4 linked regions of the Arabidopsis thaliana genome follow. The protein of the gene in region 2 interacts with the protein of the main gene of each other region in a pairwise test. Each region holds a gene or a part of one and is shown on either strand. Other genes may lie near its edges.

The links.
Region 1: the proteins of AGL99 (region 2) and PHE1 interact in a two-hybrid assay, tested with the Arabidopsis thaliana proteins (one large-scale study listed by BioGRID).
Region 3: the proteins of AGL99 (region 2) and AGL82 interact in a two-hybrid assay, tested with the Arabidopsis thaliana proteins (one large-scale study listed by BioGRID).
Region 4: the proteins of AGL99 (region 2) and AGL103 interact in a two-hybrid assay, tested with the Arabidopsis thaliana proteins (one large-scale study listed by BioGRID).

Annotation. Positions count from the first base shown.
Region 1 is NC_003070.9:24,264,279-24,270,797, forward strand, and holds PHE1 (MADS-box transcription factor family protein), read right to left. Parts: upstream 3,059-6,519; 5' UTR 3,043-3,058; coding exon 2,203-3,042; 3' UTR 1,979-2,202; downstream 1-1,978. Other genes in the region: CYP96A3 (cytochrome P450, family 96, subfamily A, polypeptide 3), read right to left, coding at 3,857-5,368. UniProt on the Arabidopsis thaliana protein: Probable transcription factor involved in the development of gametophytes and seeds.
Region 2 is NC_003076.8:1,330,874-1,335,682, reverse strand, and holds AGL99 (AGAMOUS-like 99), read right to left. Parts: upstream 2,925-4,809; 5' UTR 2,859-2,924; coding exon 1,890-2,858; 3' UTR 1,761-1,889; downstream 1-1,760. Other genes in the region: CYP77A9 (cytochrome P450, family 77, subfamily A, polypeptide 9), read right to left, coding at 3,576-4,809.
Region 3 is NC_003076.8:23,777,549-23,783,933, forward strand, and holds AGL82 (AGAMOUS-like 82), read left to right. Parts: upstream 1-3,283; coding exon 3,284-4,168; downstream 4,169-6,385. Other genes in the region: AT5G58880 (LRR protein), read left to right, coding at 1-1,408, 1,597-1,951, 2,046-2,053; AT5G58900 (Homeodomain-like transcriptional regulator), read right to left, coding at 5,727-6,147. UniProt on the Arabidopsis thaliana protein: Probable transcription factor that may function in the maintenance of the proper function of the central cell in pollen tube attraction.
Region 4 is NC_003074.8:6,416,054-6,422,416, forward strand, and holds AGL103 (AGAMOUS-like 103), read right to left. Parts: upstream 2,452-6,363; coding exon 1,291-2,451; downstream 1-1,290. Other genes in the region: PGSIP1 (plant glycogenin-like starch initiation protein 1), read right to left, coding at 3,158-3,430, 3,887-4,659, 4,765-5,384, 5,505-5,741, 5,830-5,906. UniProt on the Arabidopsis thaliana protein: Probable transcription factor that may function in the maintenance of the proper function of the central cell in pollen tube attraction.

The sequences.
Region 1 (6,519 bases), on a different chromosome or scaffold from region 2:
AACATGGACAATTTAAATTACCATAACTTATTTACTTCTTTTACCGCTTTTAGTTTATTCTCTTAATATGGATGATTTAGTCACCATATCATAATCATATTATCGTCTATATTATCATTATTATTAAAGGAGGCTCAGCCACCTATATAAACTAATATATCTTCTTGATTATTTGTTTTTGAACTAAGATTTCATTTATCTTTTAAATCTCAACAGTCAGACAAATTTAACTACCCATGCTTTAATATTTGTTTTTACTTTTCAAACGGTTACTTAACCGCTAATAACAATAATTTTCATCTATATATACACTTATTTTTCATTAATTCCTCTCACTCAAATATCTCATTTTTTCCAAAAAATATTCTCTCTCAAAAACTGACTCATCGGTTTTTAGTTTTTATAAGAGATTTTATATTTGTTTTAATTTACGGTTTACTCTTTGGAGAGTATTTTTCCTAAAACGTTTTGATGGTTATTATTATACTTTTTAAAATGTAATTGTATTGCTTATACAAGTACCTTCCATGCTATAAAATAAAATATCAAATTTCTAATAACGTTCTCCATGATTTTATATTAGAAATGAAATGACTAATATCGAGAAGCTTCGATTTACAGTCTTATACATTACTCAGACTTACTACATATCTTAGACCATCAATGTTAAGTTACGTTTGGAGTCTCTTGAGATAACGGAGACCTTAAAAGAGTATGATACTTCGATGGCCCAAGAAAAAGTAAAATCGAATCTTCCTTAAAAGACAATTCGATAAAAGTGTATTATATGACTATGCACACATGCGAGATCTTAAAGAACTTTGGAAATCCTTAAAAGATCCTTTTGATCACCAACGAGATATCACCCTCCCACTTGCTTGGGATGAATGGCAAAGTCTAACGTTCCAAAACTTTGACAAAGTAATAAATTACAATTCTATCATGTTGGGATAAAAAAGCATTCCATGAAATTAATGCATTCGATGTTAAAAACTCAGTGATGAAAAACAAAGTTTTTCGAAAACGATAGATATTATTTATCAAGAATCTTTTTCCGTTGGATAAAATAGATAATACAAGCACACAAATTTATCAAAATTTGCGATCACGCAAATTCTTGTTGGACTAGAATTTAGGTGTCATAAATAAACTTAACTATATTTGCGAGTCTTTTGATCCAAAAATCTTGTACAACGTGTCTCAATTCTGAAACAACAAAGCAGGGGAAGTGTGGAAACAATGTGAAAGAAGAGATTTTTAAGATTCCTTAATTTCTTTTATGGCCGTATCTTGCTAGGTTTTCTACTATTCTATGTTTTTTTCCACAAGCGTGCCAATATGTTGAAAGAAGCGTGTATTCCTAAAAAGGAATGAGGGCTTCATTTCCAACGTATTCATGTGTCACGGTTGTTTAGCTTAAGCTTAATTTGGAAACTACTAACTTCGTGGGGGTTTATTATGGGCGGTTCCGACAATATATTATCTGTTAGGATGGTAAGGATTCTACTCTAGGTTCCAAAACGTGGCAGAAGCTACTGAAGTTAAAACCAATTACGGCTGAGTATGTACATCAGGAGATCCACAATGGTCAGCACTATATATGTACTTTTGTCTTCGATTTTTTTATTCCCATGGGACGTCTTCTCGACTCATAGATGAGGTATGCATTAGAAAATTATGTGTGCCAAAGTATGCAAAGGTCTCACAAGTGGTCACCTAAACTACGTAGTTGAGAATTTGCTAGAAACATCTTGAAATAGCATGGTACACAAAATTGAAATCCTTTCTTTTTTGTGATCAACATTTGAATCCAACAAAAATATGGCAATAACATTCATAATCATTTTAGTTCAAATATAAGTAAGACGAAAACATGACATAGCCATAGCATATATATAGGCAAAACAAAGAAAGTTGACTTAATCAAAGCTATTTTAGATATTATAGGGTTTTTAATGACATCATATCTAAAGATTTGTTTCTTCTAAAGATACTGAAAACTCTTTATTTTGTAATGATTAAAATTATTCAAATTGAACTAAACCTTTTCAGGCAAATACATCAACGGAAATGAACTTAAAGGCAAAACCTTTAACTGTAGTACAATAATAAAAAAAAACATCACATAAATTTTATTTTCTGAAATGGAAAAATCAAAAGATGCAGATGATCAACCACTTCACTCGAAATACATCCCTTCGACTAGAGATCATTGATGATGTTAGGAGCACAAACATCAGTGGGGGCAGTGGTGACGGTAGCGAGACAATCGATTTCGGGGTGGTAGTTGTTGTTGTCCATGCAAGGAATGCCCTCGTCCTCTCCATCATTAAGATCCAAATTCATACTCTGATTTGGATCTATATTCATTTTCATGTTAAAATCATGAAGTTTCTTTGGAATCTGATCATAAAAATCATAAAGAGCCTGGTATTGGAATTGAACCGGCTCTTGCTGATTTTGGTTTTGATCTTGAATCATACGACCATCAAAACCGATTGGGACAGATGCATCCACAACAGTAGGAGCTACACCAATAGGAGGAGGTACAGATGAAGAAGACTCACCGTTCTCCTTAAGGATCTCAACCCTACGAATAACACCATTGAGATACTTGTTAAGAAATACATTCAAATCAAGAAGATCTCTTCCATGAAGATGAGACACGTCCACCTCTCCTTTGAGACAACCAAACATTAAATCTCGAATCTGAGAATTACGGTTCTCATCACGTAGCTTCTGGAGACGTTCTGTTTCTTTGGCGATCCTTTGACGTAAAAACGTCTCTTGATCCACCATCTTCTTGGTCCGGTCCAACACCGAAAACTCCATAAACTTCGACATCACTTCTTCAACGCCTTCCCTTGATGGCCAAGGCTCCTGGATCGAGTTGTACGGGCTACGGATGACCGCACATGCGTCAACACCACATAGAGTTACTAGCTCGTTGAATTTCTTCAGCATCCCTTTCTTCCTTTTGGTGAATGTTGTTTTCCTCACTGAATCATTTTCTATGAACGATAACTTCATCTTCCCCCTCATATCTCTTATCTTTTTCTTTTGTGTATTTTGCTTTGTCTTGTTAGCATGAGGAGGATGGTTTATATAGTCAATTTTCGAGTCAATAGATTTTTTATTGCTTTGCTGGATATGATTAATTGATTTTTTATTTTACTAATTTTTCAGGATTTGTATTAGTTTCACCCTTACGTGTAGGCATGTGATTGATGGTAAAGTGATAATCATTTATCTTTAGAGACAGCCCATATAGATATTTTACCTTTTGGGGGGCATATATAAAAACAAGATATATAGGAAAACAGTTGTATCACATATCTAATGAGATTTATACTTTATTTAGGAAGTCCATTGAAAGGAAAACAAATTACATCAAAGGTAATTTAAGATATTTCTTCAATCTCTAAATTTTTTCTATATGTTAATAGTTTATATAAACATAATTAATAAATAATTTAAAATACATGTAATATCAGTTGGATAGAAAGTAATGTTATGGCTAAACAGTGAAAGTAATGTTATTTTATTTTTTTTGTTTCGTTAAGACACATGCTATTATGTGTGTTATCGATTTTGGGTGTTATAACTGTGGGGAAGGGTCCAATAATACAAACCATAGCTGCCAAAAAAAATATTAGTAACTAAACATCAGATTCTAAAGACCACAAAATGTGAGCACATGCTATTGTAAAACCGTGATGTTATTATGAAATAGAGACTCTTATAAGGCAAATGACTGATACAAATTAAAGACGTGTTTGCAAAATAAGTCTAAGCATGAGTAAACATGCATGTTTTATTGAAATCTTTAACAGCAAAAAAAATACAAAAACTATCACTAGATCCTAGTGATATTAACTTTGAGACCATGTTGCATACGAAAAAGAACAGAAGGAACTGGTTCGGTTTTGTGCCCTTCAACGACCTTGATGTCATAGTTTCGTATGATTTCCGCAGCCACTGTCTTCATCTGTAAGAACGTTAACTTTTTCCCCAAGCAAGCTCTTGGACCGGCGTTAAACGCCAAGAACTTATATGAAGGTTCATGTTTTAACCTTCCACTGTCTGAAATCCATCTCTCTGGTCTGAAATCTTCTGCGTCATCTCCCCAAACAGATTTCATCCTCCCTAATGCATACATAGATATGACAATCTTCCATTTCTCATCTACTCTATGCCCACTTGGAAGTACGTCTGGCTTTGCCGGTGACTTGTGGTTAAATGGAACTGGTGGGTATAACCTTAGCGTCTCACACACGGCACCGTGTAGATACACGAGCTTTTCTAAATCTGCGGGATCAAACCTCGGCATCTTCTTGTTAACCTCTTGTCGGATCTTGTTTATTGCCTCAGGGTTCTTGGACATAAGCCAGAAGAACCAAGTGAGTGCTGAACTTGTTGTATCTCTTGCCGCTATCAAGAAACCCAAAATAGTGTCTTTGATGAATCTATCATCACTTGGTTCCAAGTACTTATATTTGGTCGTGTCCATAGTCATGTAGTATGTCAACACGTCTATGGCCTCTCCTCTTGAGGGATGATGAGTCCCATGACTATTGATCTCCTCTCGTTTAGCCGTTATGATCTTCTCGAGTAGTTGATCGAATACCGCTAGACCTCTTTTCAATCTTTTCTCTACTCCTACACCAATCAAATATTGGAGCCTCCACAAGAAAACCGGCTTAACATGTCTATAGAAAACCCCGTCAGAAACACCATCGACCGCGTCACCGAACTCAACCTTAGGCATTTCAACGGATAAACATTTTGGATCATACCCGGTCATCAAAATCAAAGATGTATCAAACAAGAATCTCTGGAACAAATCTTGCAAGTCGACAAGGATATTTTTATCAGCTGCGTTTTCAAGAATAGGAACAAGCCCTTGCCTTAATTTTCTTACACTTGTACTCACCCAGAACATTTGGAAATCTTGATTACTAAAAATGGCATGAGACGAGTTCCTCATATCCTCCCACAAACCCGAGTCAACGTTGAAAATTGAATCACCCACGACTTCGAAGATCTTCTTGAACTCCATTCCTTTGGGGTAGTTAGCAAAATTTGAGCTTAGAATGTAGTGGATATTCACCGGATCAACAGTAAGCAAGATGTCCATTCCGCTAAGACATGGACCTTTGAAACAAAACGTCATATCTGTCGCCTCAAGAACCTCGGTGATCCAGTCGTAGATACGAGGCACTTGGAGGAGTAGACCCGGAAGCATCCCAAGGGCCGGCCAGTTCGTGAGCAAAGGCTTGGGAGTTTTCTTGTGGAGTAATAAACATTGGAAGAAAATGAAGAAAACAAATGCTGTGAAGATTTCAAGTAAACCTATGACTATCGCCATTATAGTAACAAAATGTTTATTCAAGAAATCTTTTTTTTCTTTTGGTCAAGAAATGTTTTGTCTTGTTAGTGAGTATATGAACTCCCTTACGATATCATATACGAAATGAAATGAATAAACACATGCATTCTATTTCGATCCGTTGCATTGGGATGTGTAACGACATTAAATCATATTATCCGTTAAAACTTTTTTTTCCAATTTTATGTATAGTGTATGCGCAGAGGCGGAACCATATTTTGTAATAAATGCCTCGAGTAAATTTTGTAAGATTTCTGCAAATTATGAAAGTTTACATTGATGTCCCCACCCATAAGTCTTTTTCTAATCAGAATATTTTAGGTGGTGTTATGGGTTAGTTTGGGTTTATATTTCATAAGTCTTTTTCTAAAGTTTATATCTTAGGTTTAAAGTTTTATCGGATTTTAAAAAACATTTGGGTTCATTGAAAGTGAATCATTAATCATTTTGTTAAATACGTAGAAGTGTATATTCAACGATACGTGATGTCATTTGGTTTTCTATTATTGAATGAAATTTTATAACAAATGATATGGTAATCTAAACAAAATCCAACAAAACTTTTGACCATTTTTTATTTTTTTATTTCAAGCTTTTCTACTATTTTAAAGTCTTTTTAAGAAAATATAAGCTAAAATTTTGTTCATAAATCTTTCGATAATTCCAAATCAAAACTTTTTAAAAAAAATAAAAGAAAAATACATGAAAAAACCTTTAAAAAATCATTAAAAAAACATAAATCTACATTTATTTCATTCTACCTAGCCTCTCTTCTACCGACATGCTCGTATTCCCAAATGGTAAATCTTAATAAGTGAAGTATGTGAATGGAATCCAAGTGTGGTTTGGATCAAGAAGAACATATTAGAGTTCTTTGAAATTTTCGAAACAAGTTTACATGTATATGTATAAATGTTTATTTTTCTTTTGAATATAATTTAATATTAGATTCAAAAAAAAAAAAAAAAAAAAATCTTTATGTGTGTCTTGTAACGAATACGTTCATCTAAATCAGAAATTTCTTTACATCATTCCAAACATTATGCTTTTTGTGCCACTTCTTTTTATCGTCTATCTTCTCTTTGTTGTATTATATTCAAAGTTTAACCGATAACAACCATCATAAGATT
Region 2 (4,809 bases):
TAGAAACACTCTTTACTTTCAAACAAGGTTTAAGTCAGAATTGATTATATGAGTCTAGATTCACCTATAACCATAGGCTGATTGTTACAACTAATAGGCAAATAGTCGATGAAAGCTTTAAACAGGAGTGTCCCAGATCTTTAATGCTGATAATTACTAATTAGATAACAATAAGGATGTATAATGAAAATAGAAAAAAAACAAAAAAAGTAGTTGTTGTATTTGGACCTACAGGCTACATATTTAACATATCACCGTGAAATTTACCTGTTAGAATGATAATTTGGGAGTCTAGGAATTGTGTGATCAGTGCATGTCTTTGTTTTTATTTATTGCGTTCAACTGTTCCTTTAATAAATTAGTAACATGGGAAAGCCAAATGTCGCAGAAAGCCATTTATTTACTCACTTTCCAATTTTGGTAGACCCAAAAACAATGAATAAAATCGTGTCATCTTTCAGCTAATCAGAATTCAACATCTTATTATACTTTGAGAAAAAACAAAAAAGAAACTCGAATAAACGTGTTTGACTTGGTTGGAATTCAATTTACTTGTCAGAAATTTCAACTGTTCTTCATGAGTGGTATTATATATGTCATAAATTAAGGGTTCTTCTGCAATTTTTTTTTCTTTTTCTCATCATCTGGCTTTTATACACTGATAAAGCCATATAGCTACAAAAAAGTGAGGGTCTAAACTACAGGAGACAAAACAAACTCCCTACACTAAACAAACTCAACAACGGACTGCAAATATCAGTTCACAAAAAGAACTTTAGCCCATGAAACGAAACTGCATTAACAAACAGAGATGCAAGTCCTTTCTTCCTCAAAAACTCTTACCAGGCAGCTTGGAGGACCCATTGCCACATACGACTGCAGTCTCAGATCTCCTGTCACACTTTTAGCAATAAGATTTGCTCCCCTGTTTGCACCAAAAGTTTCCAAAACCATCATCTTCCACACCTGGAACTAAACAAAAAACTCTTTAAAGCAAAAGATTGAGCTTTAAAAGAGGGGCCAAGCCTGCGGCCTATTAACTGCTTCTACCAATCCTTTTTCTTGGCAAGCAAAAAAAAACTCTCATGACTTTGTGACTTGACATGCTTTCAATAGACCAAAGCAAAACTCTTAGCTTTGCATCCTCTACACTTCTTATACTAAATATCGCCCGGCGACTGTGAAGTAAAACCACCCAACTCATTTCTTAACACCCAAGCTCCCCCTACATTGCATTTGAACCAATTACAAGGTGTTTTTTCCCAAACTTTCCCCGCCATATAAACACTTCTCTGCATCACGTTTTGAATGGAATCAATTAGCACCGGTTCTTCTGCAATTTGTTATGGAGCCATTCTGCTCTATTTTGGTAAAGCTTTATCTGTTTTCAAGTTATGAAGTAATCACAAAATACTGGCCTAGATGATGACTGGTTTTGGTACTTAATAAGAAAGCAGAGACATTCCTAATCAAAGATTGTCAGACAGATGTTTTCTGTTGTAAGACTCAATATTGGTTTTAATATTATTTGTTGGTTAGATTAGAAAACATCCCACAGTTAAACAAGACACAAGTTGATACAAGAAAAAAAGAGTAGTAAGACTCATTGGTTTTAAACTTTTAATATAAGAAGAAAACATCACACATATAAAACAAGACAAGTTGATAGAAAAGACTACAAAACTTAAAAGAAAAAAGGATGGTTTCTTCATTAGTTAAGGCAAACCAAAACTGAACCGGTTTGAGTTAGATCAACATCCCAGAAATCCAATGAAGCATGGAAAATTGATTGAAGTCAAACCGGAACCTTCCTTGAGTAAAGTATCTCTAACGAAAATAAACCGAAGCAATCCTTGAAACATCTGTTATCTTGGAGGGAGTTTCAAATATCAGCAATGTAAGTCACTGAAATAATCAGAAAAGCAGAGATTATCCTCCGGTAAATCTTTTTGAATCATTAATCCTCCATCTTCAACAGCTTCAGGATTTGAGCACAGATTTTGCTTTGTAGTCACCATCGAGGCATAATCCTCCATCTCACAACTCTTCAAAAGGCTTTCATAGTTTGTCTCAAAATCAAGTAGCTGATCAAGATCTAGCTCTTGATCGAATTCATCCAAGTTTTCAGGTAAAACATTGTTCTTGTCAGAAATCATTAGCATCGTATCCTTGTCGTCCATATCAGACACGTGGATATTGTCCTCATCCATATTTTTGTGAACAACCAATTCTCTATCTTCAACAGTTTCAGAAGCAGAGACGGGGTTTTGATTCGTGGTCACCACAGAGACATCGTCCATGTCCAAGTTCATCGATAGAGCTTCAGCTGTTGACACATAATCAAATATTTCATCAAGATCAAATTCTTCAGTGTTCTTGTTAAACCCATCGAAATTCACAGAACATGATTCAGGATTAAAGGTTTGCTTTTGATGAGTTCCGTGTAAAACACCCTTCTTCTTCACGTCCTCCTCACAATCTCGTTGATTCTGCAAATCCTTCAGATCTTTCAACATCTTCGACATCGAGTCCATTGCGTCTCTCAGTTCCTCCAGGTCCTCTGATTTTGAAAGCCTCTCATCTTCCCACCAATAGTCTAACCCTAGACCTTCCCGAGGACGCTGATTCGTGAGGAAAGCGGCTACAACGTTATCAACAGAGGAATGGCCAAAGGTGTAGAAAGAAACGTTTGATTTGGAAGAGACCGGAGTGGCTATGATCGCAATTTGTGCATCGGAGAGAAGACAAAGATCAGAGGCTTTGCTATATAGACCCCTACTGCGTTTTGAGAAAGCAACAGCTCTTGAATCTTTCTTCTCTATCAGCTCTATAGAAATCTTTCTCTTCACGCCCCCCATTCTGTGTTCACGATTTCACAGACAAAGAAAGAGAAGGAGAAAAAGACAGAGAGATTTTTGTGTTAGCCTGTTGCGAAAGAATATGATATGGCTACTCTCTGTTTCTAATCGTGTATATATAGACTCTGTGTTGTTACTCGTTTCTAATCAATCGACTATATTTCCTTTTTCTGACAATTAGCTAATCAGTGATTAAACGAACTAAGTATAATTATTTTCCTTTTTTGAAAGTAATGACTCTTAAACCGCCTGAGACGAACCAAACTAAGTACAATCGATTTCCTTTTTTGAAAACTTAACTCGAAAAGCACCTGAAACTAACCATGGCTGGTTCAGTTAAACCATCGATTCTATTTCCTTTTCGTGATAATCTACTAATCACTAATTAATCCAATAAGTATATGTTTCCTTTTCCTTTGTCAAAGAAATTTCCTTTTCTGAAAGAGTGATTTAATCGAAAATTTGGTTCAGTAATAAACAGTTATTTGGTTTAGTCAAACCATCTAAATTATTAGTTTATACTAGCTTAATTTGAAGACATGCAATAATGCAAACCAACTAAAACAAACGTAAATCGAATATGCATGGCTCTATTTAGTAATTGAAGAGTAGGAAAACATTTAATTAAACCAAAGCAAATTAGACAAAATGCGAATTTTCTCTCTTGAACCGGGTTTGGTCAAGTTAAAAGAATCAAAGACGTGGAATCAACGAAACTTAAACCCTAGCTTTAACCCTCGCTCTCAACGGATTCTTCATCACCACCGCGAACACCAATTTGCCGGTGAAATCCACTTGGCTCTCCGGCGGGTACGAGCTCCACTCAAACTCTTGAACCATCCTCGACAGCATTAGCTCCACGTGTACGACCGCCATTCCAAGCCCCGGACAAATCCGACGGCCAATTCCGAACGGCATCATTTTAACTCCGGCGACTCCGGTTAAATCGGCGTCTTCTCCACCTGTTATAAACCGGTCCGGATCAAATTTCTCCGGTTTAGACCATATCTTCGGGTCTTCACTTATACCGGGAAGATAAAACTCAACATTAGCCCCGACGGGAATATCGTAACCCGCGAGATTAGTCGGCTCCGTAACGCCGTGAGTTAACGTGAAATACGTCGGTGGATGTCTCCGGAGAAGCTCCTTAACAAAAGCTTGTAAAAAGACCATTTTATTCAAATCTTTCTCCTCAACCGTTCGATCATCTCCCACCGTTGATTTAATCTCATCGTACAGCCGAGATTGAATCTTCGGATTCGATATCAGCTCCGCGATTCCCCACTCTATCGCCGTCCCCGTCGTATCCGTACCGGCGTTGAGAAACTCTGAACACAGCGTCACGAGATCTTCATCTGACGGTGACGTTTCACGACCATCAACTCTGAGATCGAATAAAGTATCAAGATACGCGAAAGACGACGCCGTTTTATCGGAGCCGAGATTTCGAATCGCTAATCGTCGTTTCTCGATGAATCCAACGACGAATTGGACAAGTTTCCGGCGAAGTTCCAGAGAATTTTTCCTCTCCTTGAAGTAAAACGGAGTTAGAATCGGAAGATAGTCGTGAATTCGTGGATCAACGGCGGTTAAAATCTCCGTCATCATCTGATCCATCTTCTCAATCGATTCTTCTTCCATTTTAACTCCGAAACACATATCTAACAAGATACAAAAAGCAGCGAATCTAGCGTTTCTTAGAACCCAGACGAGCCCGTCGTTTTCCTTAGCTTCAGATTTGATCTTCTCCACGAGCTTATCAATGGCGGATTTTCTAATTGAACCAAATTCCTTTAACCGGTTAGAGCAGAGCATGTTTTGAACCATGTTCCGTCTCAGTGATCGCCACACGGGACCGTACATAGCGGAATGAACGGTGATATCGCTAGAACTGAAGATTTTCCGGGTCGGAGTTTCGGCGGGTCGGGTTGCGAATTGGGCTCCACGTTCG
Region 3 (6,385 bases), about 22 Mb from region 2:
GGATATGCAAGTTGAGGTTTCAGAGATTGGTTCACCTCCTACAACAGTTGATTGGCTTGATGACTGGTCTACTGGTGGTGAATCTTACATTTATGATACAGATATTGACAGAGAAATCGTCCGCGATGAAGAATCACGTAAGAGGATGTCTCATCAATATGAATCAAGAAGTGGAATAGGATCAAAAGAGGAGAATAGTGAGCCAAGTACTAAACCTGAGGCCAAACCAGATCAGGATTGTGTGGTAGATGAAGACCTTATAACAGTTGATGATATGTCATTGTTAGATAGAAGAACCCAAAGTGAAGAGATTTTTGAGCAGACACCTTCTAGTTCCAGTGATGTGTCCAAGCCTACAAGTTCTGGGAGATTTGAAGGTATGTTGTTCCATACAAGTGCCTCATTGTCGTCTATAACAGAAGAACCTGAAACAATCTTGGATTCGATCGATGGCGTCAACTCGGAGATTATGAATAGTTTGACTGGAGAATTAACTGACCAGAGACCTCTGACTAGTCTTGATTTATCCATGGAGAATTTGATAGATGAAGAAGTTGCTGATATGCAACAAATAGAAAATGATGATCTTTGTGGATCTCCTAAGATTATTGATTTTGATATCATTGATCATCAGCAGACAGATCAAACGTCGGATAGCATTCAAGGAGAACATGAGGAAACTAAGAGCTTCTTGGATGCTTCTTTGGACACACCCTTTATAGAATCATTTGAGAGAGAGGTACAAGAAGAAGAAGAATCAAACTTAGACAAGTCTACTGAGGAAACAACAAAAGAAACAGAAAGTGATTTGAAGAGTTCTCCGGGACAAGTTTCTACAGAATTACTAGAAAGTGTGGTAAGGGAAGAGAATGGTCAGGAATTAGTCAAAAGTGCTGATGAGAAAGCAATGCTAGTAGAGGAAGAGAAGACTCATAATGTCTTGGAAGCATCTTCGAGCAATGCTCATACACAGTTGGTTGATTTAGACTATGGAAACGCAGAAAATTCTAGTGATGTGATACTTCTGCAAGTCCAAGATAGTCATAAGTCACCACTAGATGAGTCAGTTGATCAGGAGATCTCTAAGGAAGTAGAAAAAACAGAGTTATTAAAAGATTTTTGTGGTGAATCAACCCAAGAATACAAAAATAGAGGAAATGTTGAGGCCTGTGGAAACGCAGAAAATGCTAGTGATGTGTTACTTCTGCAAGTCCAAGATGGTAATAACTCACCACTAGATGAGTCAACTGATCAGGAGATTTCTAAGGAAGAAGAAAAAACAGAGGTATTGAAAGATTTTAATGATGAAACGCCCCAAGGATACAAAAATAGAGCCAATGTTGAGGAAGAATCAGTAGTTTTAGCTGACACTCAAAACTCACAAGATTCACAAACATGGACTCAACAGGTTTCACCTTCTATTCTAATCATCTTTGACATTTTAGACAAATCTGACTCCACCAATGATTCACTGAATATGTGATTATCCATAACCATTTACTAAGATAATAAATTTTACTAGCTTCTTCCTCTGTTGTTGGTTCTTGATTTGAAGTTTTAGTAATTGCTTTTGACACTTTTGTTTTTATTGAATAGTGTGGTATAGATTCTTCCCAAGGGATATCACCAAGAACATTGGAGATCACCCAGCAACTAGAGCAAGACGATGTTATTGCCTCTTCCTCAAACACCGTCTCTCAAGATATCAATAAAGATATTACCGCGGCAGTAGCCAATGACTTAGCTGCTAGTGAGAGGAATGATGAAGTGATTCTGAAACTTGATGAGCAAGTTGGAGAAGCTATGGAAAAGGAACTAGAGCTTAATTTAGAATCACTGCACCATAATATTGGTTTAGTCGGTAGAGAAGACGATGAAGAATCCAAGAAAGTAATAGAGGAAATGCAAAATGCGGAGATCCAAACAACAAAACACGAAAACAGAGTCTTAGGTTAGTCGTAATTCAAAAATGGAGAAGAAAGCATAGATGATCAGAAAAGTGTTTGATATTCCTATGTTATAACCAAATGCTTACTATTTTGCAGAAAATTAACACATTGATGATACTAACACACAGAATCATGATGACGAAAACAAGTAACGCTGCACATAAGGTACGGTACGCCACAAGGAAAATGTGTTAAGAATTCTTTTTGATCCATAACAGGTGAAACATTGTGTTGTATCATTATTTAATGGACTTTTTGTTTAATTATACAACTTGTAAAGGCAACTCATTCTTTTGTAATATACTGTATAGAGATGGATAAATCTTTTGAATATATACTCACAGAAGAACTACTAGCATTCATTTCTCTTCTTTTCTTCTTTGTTTTAATGTTAAGATTATATTAGCGAAACATATTACAACCTAAAGCTACCCATATCCATAAAAAACGAATCGAATCGAGAAAGTTTTTCGGCATACAACGGATAAGTAGTACAACAACGGCCCTAAGAGCTGCCGGCGTTAAAGGTGACTATTATATAACAAGATTACAATAAGTGTATAAATATTAAACCGTCTAACTAATAAGGAAAGAAATAAATTTAACTGTGTTTAACATTTTTGTCTTTCTTGGTAAGCATCTTCAAGTTAGTATATTTTCCCTTTTGGCAAACTAAATATTCCCAATTTAATTCTTCTTTCCTAAACTTTCATGATCATTTAAATGTTCATATCTCGTGATCTTTGACAACCTTCCATAAACACAAACCTAATCAAGCTCAATATATAAAATCTCGCATATATTAGCTTGATTCACCCTTATTCCGACAGAAGCTCCAAAAAATCGGTTTTGGTATAAAATCTCATTGAAACTTTTGCTTTGATATTCAAGTAAGGATACTATCTTTTCCATAAACAATTTCTACATTTGTTCATTAATTCTGCTCTGGCTCTAAGGTATTTCATGTTTCATTTGTTCTGTTGTGGGATTGATTTCGTTTTGAGGGTGTCGAGAATTAGCTAGCTCCTACTTCTCGGATTTTGACTATTGGCTTTGCGTTTTCTCATTTATTCGTGAGTGTAATTTTAAAATTCTTTCGCTCTATCCTATGGTTTGTGTGGGGATTGAGGCAGCATAGAAAAAACGCCTTTAATTTGGGTTGTTTTGATCATAATTTGAGTGTTTATAGACCAACTATTCACAAAACGCCTATAAACAAAGTATTTTACAAAACATATCAATTCAATTTATTTGTACTTTTGTTTTTGGGAAAAAGGTTTATATGTTTATATGTTTTTTTTTGTAATATATAACAATAACTCAGGTTACAAAGGATGGTTCCGAAAGTGGTCGACCTACAAAGGATAGCGAACGATAAGACAAGGATAACAACTTACAAGAAGAGGAAAGCTAGTCTTTACAAGAAGGCACAAGAGTTCTCAACTCTCTGCGGCGTCGAGACATGTCTCATCGTCTACGGTCCCACGAAGGCTACCGATGTGGTGATTTCCGAGCCAGAGATATGGCCGAAGGACGAGACCAAAGTCAGGGCCATCATACGCAAGTACAAAGACACAGTGTCGACCAGCTGCAGGAAAGAAACCAACGTGGAGACTTTCGTCAACGATGTAGGGAAAGGAAACGAGGTGGTGACTAAAAAGAGAGTGAAGCGTGAGAATAAGTATTCTAGTTGGGAGGAGAAGCTAGACAAGTGTTCACGAGAGCAACTACATGGGATTTTCTGTGCCGTGGATAGCAAGTTAAATGAAGCTGTAACGAGACAGGAGCGTAGTATGTTTAGGGTTAATCATCAAGCCATGGACACACCATTCCCGCAGAATTTAATGGACCAACAATTCATGCCACAGTATTTTCATGAGCAGCCACAGTTTCAAGGCTTCCCTAATAATTTCAATAATATGGGTTTCTCGTTGATTTCACCTCATGATGGTCAGATTCAAATGGACCCAAATCTCATGGAGAAGTGGACCGACTTGGCTTTGACTCAAAGCTTGATGATGTCAAAGGGAAACGATGGTACTCAATTCATGCAGAGGCAAGAACAACCATACTATAATCGTGAACAGGTTGTATCGAGGTCTGCAGGTTTCAATGTTAACCCGTTTATGGGATATCAAGTCCCGTTTAATATTCCTAATTGGAGATTATCGGGAAATCAAGTTGAAAATTGGGAGCTTTCAGGGAAGAAAACGATATGATTTGAATTACGGAGCTTTATTAGTTTTTAGGGTTTTATAGTTTTGTTTCTGTTGGGGTTTTTAATTTTTTTTTGTGTATGATGGCTTGACATGCAAAAGTCAAGTGTTTTTTTTTTGACATAACATCATCTTTTTACATTTTATACAAGTTTCGGTTATACGTAAAGTTTTCTTTAAACACTCAGAAAATAATGTACCACTTATTTTATTATATTATCCTTGGTTTTTATATGATCATCTCCCAAATTGTCCCAAAAAACAAAATCTATAAGAACTAGTTAAGATGAATTAATTAATCATTTTACTTTCCGTGTCGAGTTTTAATTGGGATGGTAAGACATTGACAACCCTAACCACTAGACTATAAATCTTGCAACTGAGTAATTTATTTTTGTAAAAGCTTTTTTAAAAGAAAATATCTTTTTTAATCTTTGTTGATTATTCAATTACTTGATAGCTTTTGTTCATTGTTTTAAAAGCTAATTAATAATTTGTACCTTTTTGTTGATTGAATTCCAAAATTCTTTGGTTATACCAAAAAAACAAAATACGTATAGTGTCTACTGTCCTACAGACTATCTATAGCGTGTCTAGAAAAAGGAAAAAATAAAAGAAAAAATTAAGGACTATAAAGTTTAATTAGTTGCACTGTTCTCAAACATTGTCCGTTGTTATAACTTCAAGTGGTTGTTGAAAGAATAGTTTGGTTGATTGAGACGAACAACGAATAATGCCATATTGTGATCTATACATTATTCAAACATTACACGACAAATATTGGATATTTAAGTTAGAGATGGCCAACTTTGTGTCTTTGAACCTTTTTCCCTGCAACTTGTATTACAAACATATTTTTTTAATTTTTTCCCTCAACAACTAACACTGCACAATATCGGATTTAATATTTTTTTTATGCATCATACTATATAATATGATAATGCTGATATGAATTAGACTATTGTTGTGTTTCTCAAAAGGGGTTATTCACAACCACCATTTGCATATTTGGCACTGTTTAGGATTTGTTTAAGCACTTCTTACATCTGCTAATTCGATCGGGTTTGTCTATCGTACACAACACATATGATGATGTTTTGTTAGGTTTAGTCTCGGTTTACGCTTCAAGCATGTTCATGAATCTTAAACCGCTGATGAACTTGTGTGTATTAGATGTGAAGCTGTGACAGCCCATTTCGTATCGGTGGTCCAGAAGTGAAGTGGATGAGTAGTTGGAGTTATGTTGTATATATGCGTATAACGTAAGCTGTTAAAGACGATATAATTTGGCTTCACTTGTATATCGTTTTAATTTGGCATCACCTATCTTTCATTTTGTCACACCACTTGTTAATTTGCAACTTGCAACCATTTGAAACTTAACTAACAATTTTACTCAAAGATAACTTAGGCACTGTCAAGAGACTTTTATTAACTATTTCAATTTGGAATTAAAACAATGGACGTTTATTATACAATTGCCAAATATGATTGTTTCGTCCATATGAAAAATTAAGAATTTAACTTACACTTTTTAATTAGAGAGATGGATCTTCATTAGCTATAGTTGAAACATTGTGTTTTGGGCGTCATAGCAAGAATCTGCATTGTTATACCCTCCAATCATAACCTGGCCGTATGAATGAACGCCACTAATAGCGTTTCCAATCGTTATATTGAAAGCGTCTGCCTGTGTTCCATTGTTGTCCGTTTGGTTCCAAGGAAACGCGGTTAGCCTTGAACGCTGATCTCCAACAACAATGGAGCTCTTATTGGTCTCCAAAGAAGCCTCCTCTTCGAGATTTACGGTGGTTATGTCGTGAATGCTTGCTCGTCTCTTGTCCTTGCCGCCGGAAAGTTGCCGGATGAAGTACTTTTGGGCGTGGCTAGCTACTTGTGTTGGCGTTCGCGTTATCACAAAGTTCCGAGATATGTTTCTCCAATCTCCTTTCCCATATTTCTTCAAACCCATTAGAAATAGCCTGAATTGTGACAAATATGGAATCAAATATATCTACATACAATCTTGACCCAAATAAATTGTTCTTTGTAGGTTTGATGCGTTATATATGTGATTAGGCAAGATTTTGCAGCTAAACAGTGTTGCATAAATCATACTACGATTATGCAATGCATTTGTTCAAACAAATTAGAAATAGCCCGATTGTGAGAAATATCTAATCTAAGATATTTTCATAAAGTTATATACAACCACAGTGT
Region 4 (6,363 bases), on a different chromosome or scaffold from region 2:
AGCAATATTGCTCATTCTATAGATCTTCCAACAGTAGTGTGAAACCATTCATAGCAAATCTTGTTATCCATTAAACTCAGAATCCAAGAGCAATTGAAAAGATTGATCTTTGAGATCATAAGTGAAGAAGACCAATCATGGAAGTAGAGATAAACAATGAGAAGAATTAACCCGAAACTAAAACTGGTACCAATTCTTCCTGGAAATAAAACCACACAATGTCTCACATAAACCCAAATAGAACCTAAATTGAGTAAAAGGGAAAAAAAAAGTCAAACTAAATTGAACCTAATTAGAGTTTAATAGATAAAATTATATAACCCTAAAATTGAGAAGTAGACAAGAAGATAGACAGAACTCACTTGAATTCGAATAGAGCTCTTCATCACTAAACCCTAAGACCAAGCTTCTTCTTCTTCTAGGGTTTCGAAAGAAAGTAGAACGACAACGAGTTTGTTTAGCTCTGGTTCTTCAAATTTTCCAAGTTCTAGGTTCTATGGTTTTTTTTTCGGAGAAGTAAATTAAAAGACTCGCACACAAAAAAAAAAAAAAATACAATTCTTTCGCTTAGGTTTTGCTTCTGTGTGGTTAATAGGTCCCACTTGAAGGTAAGTACTCTTCAGTTTAAATCCAACCGTTGACTAAAATCCTTTTAATCTCACCCGTTGATTATTTCTTAAATAAGCCGAACACAACACTTTATTGTCCAGTTGGATCTTTTGTACTTTTTTCTATTTTTCATTTCTTTGACCTTTTTCCCTTTTTAATGCGAGGACATATGATTGGAGAGAGCTGCTAAAGTATTTTTTTAGCTTAAGTAATTTCTGATTGTGTTTTACTTTACCCGTCTTAAAACTTAAAAGCTTGCCTAGGGTTTTTTTATTCATCAAACATTAATCGTATAATCAAATTCTCGGCAATAAGTATAACAAACCAAAAAAAATCTCAGAATAACAAAAGAGGAAGTATAGGAAAAGTGTCACTAACATGGGAGACATTACTAGTCTTAATTCTCAGCAATAAATATAACAAACAAAAGAATCTCAGGATAACAAAAAAAAGAAGTAGTATAAGAAAAGAGTCACTAGCATGGGAGACATTATTAGTCTTTTAGTCACATTACACTAATAAATAAAAGTAGACATAATCGAAAACTTGGAGATCGATATACTGTCTCAAACTGATAATTGCACTAACCAAAAGTTATAAATATATATGCTTCTTAGTTATATAACTAGGAGATATTAAAAACCAAAAATTATGAAGCTATAAGAGAGATTGTGATAGATCTTAGAGAGACCTAGTATTGTTTCCGTTTTGATCCAAATTGAAAACCCGGTCCTGATGTTGGCTGTTGTACGTTGGAAATTGAACATACTGATGCGAAAGACCATTAGAGTTAATGCTGTTGTTGTTACTGTAGTCATGCATGTTCATGCTCTGCAACCCGTTAGTTCCAGCTCCTTGCATCCCAAGTAACCCTGCACAGTCTTGAACATTGAAGTTGTTGCGGCTGGACATGTTAGGGTTCTCAAACTCATTGTTTCCGTCTTCGTGTACCCCAAGTAAGCTAGAGTAACTTTCCGCTCTGGAATTCTGGTCAAACTGTTTTGAGAAATCATTAACGCTGTTGATGTTGTTATAGGTTAACATGTTCATGTTCTGAAGCCCATTGATCCCAGTTCCTTGTACCCCGAGAGACCCCGAGTAATTTCCCGCATCCGAATTCGGGTAAATCATCAGTTCAGGCGGAATCGGAGCTAGAGATTGCGTTTGGTTTGAAGCCAATGCTGAGACTGGGATTTGTGAGAAAGCACCGTTTCCATGGTTCCACAGATACATGGAAACCTGGTTTGAGTGTTGTTGAAGTTGATTCATCGTATTAGCCATCATCAGTTCTTGATTAGCCATGTTCGTGTACTGTACCCTCCTCTGCCCCTGAGCTTCAACAACAGCGCAAGTCCTATGTTGGATCCTGGTTAGGTTTCGTTCCAAGGACTGAACCAGTCCCATGAGTTGCTCCACAGAGTAATTGTCAAACCTAGGGTCCCAAACTGGATACTTGACTTTGGGTACACGTCTCACTTTAATCTTCTTCTTCTCCTCCTTCTCGGGATCATCCTTGTTCATCTTCTCGAGGAACTCGTGAAGATCAACGCTTCCTTTGCGACGCTTCGTCTCGCTTAATTCACCGTACCTTCGAGCTATGGCTTTGACCTTCTCTCTCTCTTCAGGCCATGTCTTAAGCTCTCCGTTTGATCCGTAACAGATGACGCAGACATCGATGTCACAGAGAATTGAAAGCTCTTTAGCTTTCTTAAAGACAGTCTGTTGTCTTTTGATCAAACTTGTGGCCCTCGAAGAAGAAAAAGCAGAATTAGGTTTCTTGAAAAAGGTTTTGTTCTTCTTCGATGTTGAAAACGAAAGAGAAGAGGACGAAGAAGAAGCCATGGTTGTGTATATTCTCTGTGAATTGAATGAAGAGGTGGTGATCATTGTTTGCGAATATATAAAACCCTTAGTTCGAGAATTTCTATTTTTGGTCTCGCTCGGTAATTAATGACGAATCAATAATGAAAGCGGTGAAGATTTCATTGCCTTTTTTAATATACTTTTTTCTCATAGAATCAATTTATATGTTTAACGAAGGTGTAGTTTTACTAATAAGGAAAACTTTGGTTTTTGGTTGAATATTATGGAAATCTTTAGTAGAGATTCTTTTCACATGTACATACATACACAAATACATACACTGATATACACACACATAGATTTATATACTATACGTAATGTATACATACTACACTGCGATTCGACTAAAAATTTGGATTTTTCGAAAGTTTAATTATACTACATATGTTTAGTTACATCAATTAATTTGTGTTGTTTGGCTATATGTAAGTCTATAATCTATCGTTTCTGTATAAACTATTTGAATGTTACTAACATTTTTGAGTTTGTGTTTGTATACAAAAATGGCATATAAATACGACATATGTTTTATTTTGTGGTTAAACTGCAAAAAAATGTTTTATTCAATTTGAACAAACTATAGGAAAAAGATATAGTTACACAACTGATATTCACCTAATCTCGCAGCAACAATTCAAACCAAAAAACTCATGAAATCCATTAATAAGTATGTATAATTATTGCGTCACAAGTTATGGCCGGGAAGTGATGATCTCCGGTCTACGGTAATGGCTGGTGGGGTGGGAACAAAAGACTCGTAGTCAGTCCAATTTGATTCGCCCCAATGCCGCAGCATACTTTTCCAATTACATAATTTGTCGATGCAAATTTTGAATCTCGGGTCCTTTACTCTTATTTTCCAATGACCGTCGGCATAATTTGCGGCCTCTGCTTGCCGGCGATCATATTCCAGCTGTGCCTTTTGCTTGGATCGCAAGTAACAGAATTGGTGAAGTTCCTGCAAAATATCATATATGGTAATTACTAACCGTCACAATTTTAGAATAATTTGGGAAAACGTCTAACTATTTTTATATTTCTGCCAACCAATGTTTTTTTAAACTAATCATAAAGAAAGAAAATTTGAAATGATTTTTTTATAAGGTGTATAAAACATAGACATTAAAACTTGATGCCTACTGCGTAGGGGGCTAATTCTGCATTTACTAACCCACCAAGATTTTCGTATATTCAAATTTCATATGGTTATTCTAAACTTGGGTAGTAAGTAATTTTTAGTTTATTTATTTTTTCAAGTTTTGGAAATTTTTGAGAAAGAAATAATGCTATGCAGTTAGTCTCTCAACGCATGACTAAACGCCTAATAATATTTTGAATATTGATCACAATATGAGATTGAAAATATTATGTGATTTTTGAGTTCTATTAAGGTTTTTAGGAGAGAGTGAATCACCTGTGGCATGGCGTCGTGGACCATCCACCATTTTCGATGAGCGATATCGGTAGCAAACTCAACGAATATGTCGGAGTTGAAGTTACAGTCGTAGTCACGGTAACATAACCACGGCTTCATCCCAAGGTAATGAAGAACATAAAGAACAGGAGGCTCTGCTCCAAAAAGCTCTGTTTTCTTGCGTTTCGCGTCATCTTCATCGCCAATCCAAAAATGCTTCAAGAAATTCATATGTTTTGGAATCCGGTGCCACCATGTGAATACCTCGTTTAAGTAACCTTGATCTCCACCGTTATAAGACTCAATCTCGTTTATATGTTCCATCAGAAGCTGAAACGTACAGTTGCAAGGCTCGATCACCATAACTCCTGAATTAAACAGAGTTCCATTGTTTCCTGTAGCTGAGATCTCAGGCATCGAGAACAAGAAATCGATGTTTCTCAAGATTAAGAGATCCGCGTCGATGAAAATGATTTTGTCGTAATCAGTCAGCTGCCATAGCCGGAACTTGCTGTAGTTCCATTCGTTGTAAGCATCTTTCTCTGCCTTAGGGTTTCGAATCCTCTGTATCGTCCGGATTTGCCAACCCGCGGCTTCTAGTCCACTCCGGTGGTAACCGCTGATGTTGTCATCAACAAGGATAACAAGGTCTCTCGTCGAACCAGACTGTCTTATGCTCTGAGCCGCGGCGATTGCACCGCAGACGTAAACGTGAGCTGAGTGAAGAATTGTTGCGTAAGCTTCTCTTTTAGGGTTTCCTAAGCTTGGCCTATCTGTAAAATTCATGGAAGAAAACAGACACTAGTTAACTTAGCGACGATTTTTCAAATTTGTTTTCAAATCTAAACAAGTAATTTCGGGAGTCATTTTTATTCTACCTTGGATGCCAAGAGGAAGAGATAGCTCACAAGACCCTACAGGCAGCTGAAGCTTGTCTCTCAAGGTATCAAGATTAGGTTTGTACAACCAAACATCGCCTCTCCGAGACACAAGATCTTTACACCGGAAAAGATTCGGAATCGGAAAGCATCTAGATACAAAAAACACATGTCCCCTGAAAAACCCTTTGGCCGAAGCCGCCACAGTTGCAGCCGCTAGCTGTAGATGCAATCTCCCGACGTCTCTCGACCAATTCCCTTCTTTCCGACAAGGAAGTTTCACGACGATCAGATCGAGTCTTCTTGTAGGTACCTTAATGTTCGGGATATTAGGACAAACAGGGACCTCTGTTTCTTGCTCCTCATCGATCCACTCTGGATATAGTGCGTCCCAAGTCACATTCTTGTCTGCGTAATCTAGATTCAATACAACAACTTTTTCTTCATCCCCATTGTCCTTGCTCTTGGATACTTCTCTCCATCGTTGGATCTCGTTCGAATCAAAATTCAAGACACCGATCGTACGGCCTTCTTCGATGTTCTCAAGGGTTTTAGTCACATCGTCCCAGTTTATATCCAGATCCGAGAAGTAACGTGGATCTTGTCTTCTCCATATCCATCTAATTTCATAATTTTAAGATAGTATTATAAGAGATAGAGGCAAAAGTAAAAATTTGCATGTGAACATTTTTGAGGTCAAGAATGTAAATGTTGGTGATGGAAAAAAGAAATAGATTTACCGAGAAGATGAGTGGGAAAGAGAATGATGATAAGCTTCAGGAGAATAGATAATGGTGAAGAGAGTGGCAGAGAGAAGGATAAACAAGAGAAGCTTCACGATCTGAAACTTGGTGAAACAACAACAACTACTGTTTTTGTCTTGTGTCGAAAAATTTATGATATTAAACGGTTTCACCATATCCGATCTGCCACCTCCTTTGCTATTTCTCCGGAATCTCCTCTTGCATATTGCTTCTCTGCTTAAACACACACAAAGCCACAATTAGACGATTTTGTTCAGATTTTTTTAATCATTACTTAGAGAGTATTATACTATACACTTACATGGACGCGGAGAGGCGTCGCCGGGAGTCACCACCGGTTGTGGTGGTGGGTGCAGGAGCAGCGGGAGAGTTTGCCATATAAAACTGATGGATTGGGACAGTAGAATTGGACAAGGAAGAGGAGAGAGCAAATATAGGTGAGACATAACGTCTCTTTTAATCTTCTTATATCACATTTCCTTTGTTTCTATTTTTGTTTTTGTTAGGAAATAAGAAAATTGTATTTTTCATACCCACCTTTTTAACAAAGTTAATTTTTGATTTTCTCTTTTTGAAGTTATCGTGATTTTAATAAAATGTTTTAAATTGTGGATAATATTGTAGCTCTTTAGTTTAAACTCCATTCTCAGTTTGTGACTCTCTTATGATTGACATATATATGTCCACCAAACTTTGATCATTTCTTTGTAAAGAGAACCATAATTTATTTTCAAAATAATGAGTTTTTTTTTCAAAATAAAGATACACTTTACCAATAACTCACTTGATTATATAAGCAAAAATATTTTTTTGAAAGGTTTTAAGTCATTGAATT